Xenopus tropicalis: one gene and its partner. The protein of the gene in region 1 purifies or fractionates together with the protein of each later gene. This does not show direct contact. Links are inferred from orthologs where the notes say so. Each region holds a gene or a part of one and is shown in the gene's direction. Other genes may lie near its edges. The genes, in order: tctn2 and tctn3.

Region 1 (4,415 bases):
TCCATGGGCAAATTTCCCCAGTGTTGATAAATGACCCCCAGTATGTCACAAGAAACAAGGCTGCAAGTTGCTAGTGTCAGATGAAGGCCTCACTGAAACCTAAGTGTTAGTTTTCTAACAGTGGTTCTATTTGCTTGCAAAAAAAATGTGTTAGTACTCAGAGGTGCTTAGGCAACAGACCCAATGTAGACCATCACACTTACCTGTAGTGTTTGACTTGCAAGTGTACACAGAACAATATCTCTCCACACTGAATTTCTGGAGGAAGAACAAATCTTATAGTTCAACCACTGTGTGTAAAGTGTAGCCTGATCCCAGCTTGTGTTATGGCAGAAAAGGCACTGTTAGTGTTTCAAGTGTACAGAACACTCCCACACCCCATGCTAAAATTTTGCAGACTAGTCCCAAATTTGTGATAAGCAGCAACACTGAATTGCAGCCACACTGAGTTGCAACTCACACAGTTGCAAACATTCTGCAAAATATGTCTGTAGGTAAGTCTGTGAATTGTAGTTCTCTGTCTCCCACCCATCAGACTTTATATGTAAGCAATCAGGACCATCACACCTCTTTCATAATTTGGTCAGGGATGCTCTTAGCTTATAACGAGGTTACAGATATAAAAGCCACAGTTCAGTGGAATAACTTGGACAGAAAATAAGTGTTTCAGTTAGAATTTGTCTGACTGTATTATTAAGAGAGGGTTGTGTAGGAGAAGGTGAATGCACATGTGTCAAGTGGTGGCGTGGATTGTAGGGGTAGGCAGAAGAGGTACCTGCCTGGTGCCCCCCCATAGTTGCGCCCTAGGCAGGTGTCTCTTCTGCCTACCCCTGGTTATGGCCCTGGACACCACACAAGCTAAACTCAAGGCCATAGATTCACTGGTACCTGTAGCCAGAGGCTACTTTTTGCCATCCCTGGTAACCTGATTCCAGAGCCACTATCAGAAACTTTGGTGGCCAGTTATCATTTTAAGCACGGGTGTAACTATAGAGGAAACAGACCCTGTAACTATAGTGGCACAGTGGGACGGCCTAATAAGCAGCTAAATTTATAGGTTTAATTTCTTGTTCCCCATGTTAGGGACTCAACTATCATGTTGTGGGGCTAAATAACTAGACATTCCACTGCTGAAAAGTTAATGTAGTACTTTTATAAATTGTTATATTAGTTAATTCATTGAGGGACAGTGGAGTTTGCCCTGATCCCAATCCCTTAGTTTTAAAGCTAGGAGCATTGAACCCTCAGTCTGAAATGAATGGCCTATTAGCTAGTAAATAGACTCACTCACTAGAGTTCTTTCCCTACAGCTCAAACCTTACTAATGAGTTATTTAGCTCACTGTTTCAATTCCACCAAAAGCGAAAGAGATCTGACAAAACTAAATACCCAATCAAATTCACTGTTCTACACAGAAAATGATTGTGCCTTTTGTGACTACAATTCCCAGCATTCATCAAAACAGCCGTCGCGCAATAAAGGTTTACATACACGTGACTGTGTGCTGGCGGCGCATTGGCCAGGCTTGTCATAGTTACTGTACTCTACGTGAGTTTGGACATGGCGTCCTAGCAACGCGTTCGGGCGCTATTGTTGAAGCATTCAGTGGATAATGTCGAACCCGCGGGCCCCTTGTCTGTTCTTTCTAATATGTGCTGCCGTGATGACAACGACATTGGCGCAAAGTAAGATGGTGATGGGTTTATTGCATAGGCAAGGGAGATTCCAGCTGCTGTGACAGTGGGAAATTTGAAGTCAAAAGTGGCTTGTAAAATTATTTAGATTTTTATTTTTTTTTACCATTTGCCAAATACTTGCCCAATAGTGCCACGGACTTGGACTCTTGAGATCAGTTCTTGGAACGCTTTGGTTTTATGATGTGAATGATTGTCAGGGGACTTCACAGTGTCATTACTGAGCCATTTCATGACAATTTTGTAAAAATAACTACCCATACTGAAGATTTTTGGGGGCCCTAAAATACATTTTCTTTAAGGCCCATTAACATCATGTGAAATCACTCTGCTAAGAATAATCATATTTTGAGTTTCAGTGCTTAGAAATAAAAATATGACATTCTTGTATAAGCAGAAAGAAAGAAAGTCTCAGCAGCCCTCGGGAATGGTGAAACAAACGGTGATCTATATGTGCCACTAGTTACTTGTGGCACGAATGAAAAAGGTTATATGTGTGAATAAAACATTACTTTGATTTTAAATGTTTCTCCCTCTTTTTATAGCTTTTTACCCTTCCAGAATCATCTTACGTGGACATAGTGCAACATCGTTTCTTACAAATGTGGCAAATCCTTCACCTATTGGTGTGTCTATAACTGTGATTAATAATACAGGTACTCTATTTTCTGGAAATCATTATAACAATATTTTTTATTATTCCCCACAGAACATAGGTCAGCCATAAGTAGTTCAGGGTACTTCTCTATTGGGCCCCAATATTGTCAATTTGTTTTCACCCCCAGTGAACCCAATTGATATGTTTCCTAGGCCAGAGAAAATATAGCTGTGCCCTGGGGGAAAAAAGAAACACGGCCCTGCAACACCATAATGCATATTATTTTGCTGTTTTGTGAGTTGCAGCAAGACCCCTGTTCATTTTGTATGCTGTTTTCATCTTAGATGTAATACCAGCTCCACGTTGTGATGGACAAAACAGCACAGAGACCTGGGTAACATCTCTGGTTCCTTTGCAAAATGTGGTAAGCATTTCTAAAACTTTATCAGAAAGAATAACGTTTTTAATATGTTTCCAGTAAATATTTATTATAATTGTATATCTTTTATTTTTTTTTATGTTATTGTACTGAAACTCTCTTTCTAATAACATGTTTGTGGTCCCTTGAAGTGCTGTGAATGTATTGCTATTAGAAGCTAATTTATATCCATATATCCATTTTTTTATCCATATTTTTTGCTGGAAATGGTTTTATAATGGGAAGACATTTTATTATGGTTTAAGCAATCTTTTTAAGTTACTATAGCAGTTACAAATTTGATTTCTGGGTATAATAGTACATCATCCTGTTTAAAAATCTAGGACTTTCCTGGGAATGATCATGCAGATATATATCTGACCAGCAGAACCTGTGGTTTAGGACCCAAAAATCAGTCTCCATTCAGTTAATGGTGGGTCACTACAATCCCATTTAAAGAGACAGTTCACCGGGGGGCCAGACTATAGTTAGTGCACAAACTATGGCCCTCCCCCACTGCATCCTTCCTCACCCCTGGCTACTACCTGTCTGCCTCAGCGTGATCCTTGGCCCCAGCGCGTCTGGTAACCGTGTCTCACTGGCCAGTGCTGATGACCCGCAGGGGCTGGGTAAATGACCTTTGGGGGGCTCTATCCGGCCCGTGGGCCGTAGTTTGAGGACCCCTGCTCCAGGGCGTACCAAATGTTAGCCACCACACCAGGCCGGTTCTCTTGTTTGCAGAAAAATGCTCTGGTCCAGGGCACTTCTGTAGTGGTACCAAAAAAGGTTAAAAAAAAACAAAAGAAAAGAAAACTCAGTGTCTTAGCAGCATTGAAAGGTAGATAAACAGAAATCTAGGGCAAATAAGATATAAATTACCACATGTAGTAATCTGTAAATGTTTAACTTTGATTACAGAATGCCTATGTGTTCACCCTCAGTTTGAATCAGACACCTTGCACCCAGAATGTGACTAATTGCTGCACCGATGTGCCTTGCTTTGTGCAGACTCTTCAAATTTCTGCTTGTGTGAATAATACTTCTATTGCCACATTGCTTGTTGAAGCAGAAATCTATAGTAATACAACTTTCTCTGGGACCATTTCTGGTAAGCAATTGATTCTTTCTTGATATCTTGTAAAGCATCAGTATACTCTGTATGTGTTAGTAAGAAATGTGCTTATGCAGAGATCCTAACTTGATGCTTATGCCTGATGGGGAAAATTAGGTTGTGCAAGCTACATTTAGGGCAGTGACACCTAGGGGCTGATTTACTAAGACACGAATTCGAATCCGAATTGGAAAAATTCCGATTGGAAAACGAACATTTTGCGACTTTTTCGTATTTTTGCGATTTTTTCGGCGCCTTTACGACTTTCCCGTAAATTGTCGCAACTTTTTCGTAACCGGTACGACTTGCGCGAATTGTCGCAACTTTTTCATAGCCATAGCAAATTTCGTGAATTGTCGCGACTTTTCCATTGCCATTATGCCTTTGGAGAATTGTAGCGACTTTTTCATTGCCATTATGCCTTTGGAGAATTGTAGCGACTTTTTCATTGCCATTATGCCTTTGGAGAATTGTAGCGACTTTTTCATTGCCATTATGCCTTTGGAGAATTGTAGCGACTTTTTCATTGCCATTATGCCTTTGGAGAATTGTTGCGACTTTTTCATTGCCATTATGCCTTTGGAGAATTGTTGC
Region 2 (4,345 bases), on another chromosome or scaffold:
CACTAAGGCCCATGGACTCTCTGTGCCCAAATATAATAACCCCCCATACTGATTCCCCAGGGGCATTATAGTAGCTGGGGGCACTAAGGCCCGTGGACTCTCTGTGACCCAATATAATAACCCCCCCATACTGATTCCCCTGGGGCATTATAGTAGCTGGGGGGCACTAAGGGCCATGGACTCTCTGTGACCCAATATAATAACCCCCCCATACTGATTCCCCTGGGGCATTATAGTAGCTGGGGGGGCACTAAGGCCCGTGGACTCTCTGTGACCCAATATAATAACCCCCCATACTGATTCCCCAGGGGCATTATAGTAGCTGGGGGCACTAAGGGCCATGGACTCTCTGTGACCCCAATATAATAACCCCCCCATACTGATTCCCCTGGGGCATTATAGTAGCTGGGGGGCACTAAGGCCCATGGACTCTCTGTGACCCAATATAATAACCCCCCCATACTGATTCCCCTGGGCATTATAGTAGCTGGGGGGCACTAAGGGCCATGGACTCTCTGTGACCCAATATAATAACCCCCCCATACTGATTCCCCTGGGGCATTATAGTAGCTGGGGGGGCACTAAGGCCCATGGACTCTCTGTGACCCAATATAATAACCCCCCCATACTGATTCCCCTGGGGCATTATAGTAGCTGGGGGGGCACTAAGGCCCATGGACTCTCTGTGACCCAATATAATAACCCCCCCATACTGATTCCCCTGGGGCATTATAGTATCTGGGGGGGGCACTAAGGCCCATGGACTGTCTGTGACCAATATAATAACCCCCCATACTGATTCCCCAGGGCATTATAGTAGCTGGGGGGGCACTAAGGCCCATGGACTCTCTGTGACCCAATATAATAACCCCCCCATACTGATTCCCCAGGGGCATTATAGTAGCTGGGGGGCACTAAGGCCCATGGACTCTCTGTGCCCCAATATAATAACCCCCCCATACTGATACCCCTGGGGCATTATAGTAGCTGGGGGGCACTAAGGCCCATGGACTCTCTGTGCCCCAATATAATACCCCCCCCCCCATAATGATTCCCCAGGGGCATTACATTTGGGGCTGGGGGAGGGGGCCTACTTAAAGCCCTCATCTTTTCCCGCCCCACAGATAAGAGCCAGACCCGCCCCTGGGATTATCCCCTCAGCACTACATATCCCATAATCCCACGGGGCTGGGCGGAGCAGTAGCGCAGAGGACCATTGGCGGGCCGGAAGTGAGGCAGTTGTACCCGCCCCTGGGATTATCCCCACAGCACTACATATCCCATAATCCCACGGGGTGGGCGGAGCGAGGTAGCGCAGAGAACCATTGGCGGGCCGGAAGTGAGGCAGTTATACCCGCCCCTGGGATTATCCCCTCAGAACTACATATCCCATAATCCCACGGGGTGGGCGGAGCGAGGTAGCGCAGAGGACCAATGGCGGGCCGGAAGTGAGGTAGCGCAGAGGCTGAATGGCGGGCCGGAAGTGAGGCAGTTGCCAAGGAGACGGGACGCGGAGAGCGCGATGGTTCCGGTACTGACGGTTCTGCTGGTTTGGGCCGGGGGGGTTCGGGCTTTGACAGGTAAGGGGACCCCCTGATAGTAACCCCCCCCCCCCGCTGTACTGAGGGCCTGTCCCTTACACAGGGTTCTACCCACAATGCAACATTTCCCAGCATCCCCCAGTAACCAGGTGCGCTAGGGTCTGTATGGGGCGCGACTGGCACTGGGTTTGGCAGTATGTCAGAAGGGTGCCAGGGTGTGGGTGCCAGGGTGTCGGTGCCAGGGTGTGGGTGCCAGGGTGTGGGTGCCAGGGTGTGGGTGCCAGGGTGTGGGTGCCGGGGTGTGGGTGCCGGGGTGTGGGTGCCGGGGTGCCAGGGTGTCGGTGCCAGGGTGTCAGTGTCAGGGTGCCAGGGTGTGGGTGCCAGGGTGTGGGTGCCAGGGTGTGGGTGCCAGGGTGTGGGTGCCGGGGTGTGGGTGCCGGGGTGTGGGTGCCGGGGTGCCAGGGTGTCGGTGCCAGGGTGTCAGTGTCAGGGTGCCAGGGTGTGGGTGCCAGGGTGTGGGTGCCAGGGTGTCGGTGTCAGGGTGCCAGGGTGTGGGTGCCAGGGTGTGGGTGCCAGGGTGTCGGTGTCAGGGTGCCAGGGTGTCGGTGCCAGGGTGTGGGTGCCGGGGTGTGGGTGCCAGGGTGTGGGTGCCGGGGTGCCAGGGTGTCGGTGCCAGGGTGTGGGTGCCAGGGTGTCGGTGCCAGGGTGTCTGTGTCAGGGTGCCAGGGTGTCGGTGCCAGAGTGTCAGGGTGCCAGGGTGTTGGTGCCAGAGTGTCAGGGTGCCAGGGTGCCTCTCCCTTATAAAGACAAGTTAATAAGAAGAATAACGGGGAAAGGGGACTGACCCCACTATATATTGTCTCCCTGGGTGCCAGGGTGCCGGTGTCAGTGCCAGAGTGCCAGGGTGTCGGTGCCGGTGCCAGAGTGCCAGGGTGTCGGTGCCAGGGTGTCAGTGTCAGGGTGCCAGGGTGCCTCTCCCTTATAAAGACAAGTTAATAAGAAGAATAACGGGGAAAGGGGACTGACCCCACTATACATTGTCTCCCTGGGTGCCAGGGTGTCGGTGCCAGGGTGTCTGTGCCAGGGTGCCTCTCCCTTATAAAGACAAGTTAATAAGAAGAATAACGGGGAAAGGGGACTGACCCCACTATACATTGTCTCCCTGGGTTACAGGGTGCCGGTGTCAGTGCCAGAGTGCCAGGGTGCCGGTGCCAGAGTGCCAGGGTGTCGGTGCCAGGGTGTCAGTGTCAGGGTGCCAGGGTGCCTCTCCCTTATAAAGACAAGTTAATAAGAAGAATAACGGGGAAAGGGGACTGACCCCACTATACATTGTCTCCCTGGGTTACAGGGGTCGGTGTTTGTACCTGTGACCTTTCCCCTGGACTCTGTGATCTGAACTGCTGCTGTGACCCCGACTGTTCCCTCAGTGACCCCACAACTGTCTTCTCCTTCTGCCTCCCGGGGAGCACCAAGTAAGTGCCCTATCTGCCCCCTGTGCCTCCCTAGTGCCCCACTGCATACTGACATTCTGCCCCCCAGTAACGTTACACTGCTCTCTCCCCTTACAGGGTGCAGAGGTGGGCGTGCCTCTCCAGCTGGCTCATGTTCCGTAGCAACGCCCCGTATCCAACCACAAATATTGCCCCTGTTACTCCTGGATCCCCCAATCTCTTCTGTGTCCTGCCAAGTGACTGTAAGTACTCTGGCCCCGCCCCTTTATATCCCATAGTGCTCTCTGTAACTAATACCTCTGTCCCCGCCCCTTTATATCCCATAGTGCTTTCTGTCACTAATACCTCTGGCCCCGCCCCTTTATATCCCACAGTGCTCTCTGTAACTAATACCTCTGGCCCCGCCCCTTTATATCCCATAGTGCTCTCTGTCACTAATACCTCTGGCCCCGCCCCTTTATATCCCACAGTGCTCTCTGTCACTAATACCTCTGGCCCCGCCCTTTTATATCCCACAGTGCTCTCTGTCACTAATACCTCTGGCCCCGCCCCTTTATATCCCATAGTGCTTTCTGTCACTAATACCTCTGTCTCCGCCCCTTTATATCCCATAGTGCTCTCTGTCACTAATACCTCTGGCCCCGCCCCTTTATATCCCACAGTGCTCTCTGTCACTAATACCTCTGGCCCCGCCCCTTTATATCCCATAGTGCTCTCTGTCACTAATACCTCTGGCCCCGCCCCTTTATATCCCACAGTGCTCTCTGTCACTAATACCTCTGGCCCGCCCCTTTATATCCCACAGTGCTCTCTGTCACTAATACCTCTGGCCCCGCCCCTTTATATCCCACAGTGCTCTCTGTCACTAATACCTCTGGCCCCGCCCCTTTATATCCCACAGTGCTCTCTGTCACTAATACCTCTGGCCCCGCCCCTTTATATCCCACAGTGCTCTCTGTCACTAATACCTCTGGCCCCGCCCCTTTATATCCCACAGTGCTCTCTGTCACTAATACCTCTGGCCCCGCCCCTTTATATCCCACAGTGCTCTCTGTCACTAATACCTCTGGCCCCGCCCCTTTATATCCCACAGTGCTCTCTGTCACTAATACCTCTGGCCCCGCCCTTTTATATCCCACAGTGCTCTCTGTCACTAATACCTCTGGCCCCGCCCCTTTATATCCCATAGTGCTTTCTGTCACTAATACCTCTGTCTCCGCCCCTTTATATCCCATAGTGCTCTCTGTCACTAATACCTCTGGCCCCGCCCCTTTATATCCCACAGTGCTCTCTGTCACTACTTCCTCTGGCCCGCCCCTTTATATCCCACAGTGCTCTCTGTCACTAATACCT

The links.
Region 2: the proteins of tctn2 (region 1) and tctn3 purify together in Homo sapiens (affinity purification with mass spectrometry; 3 studies listed by BioGRID and IntAct, with this or other methods). This does not show direct contact. The link is inferred for Xenopus tropicalis from reciprocal best matches to the Homo sapiens genes TCTN2 and TCTN3.

What each region holds. Positions count from the first base shown.
Region 1 is NC_030677.2:160,942,365-160,946,779, reverse strand, and holds the start of tctn2 (tectonic-2 precursor), read left to right. Parts: upstream 1-1,587; 5' UTR 1,588-1,612; coding exon 1,613-1,685; intron 1,686-2,239; coding exon 2,240-2,350; intron 2,351-2,636; coding exon 2,637-2,716; intron 2,717-3,628; coding exon 3,629-3,818; intron 3,819-4,415.
Region 2 is NC_030685.2:529,032-533,376, reverse strand, and holds the start of tctn3 (tectonic-3), read left to right. Parts: upstream 1-1,280; 5' UTR 1,281-1,522; coding exon 1,523-1,580; intron 1,581-2,889; coding exon 2,890-3,013; intron 3,014-3,109; coding exon 3,110-3,234; intron 3,235-4,345.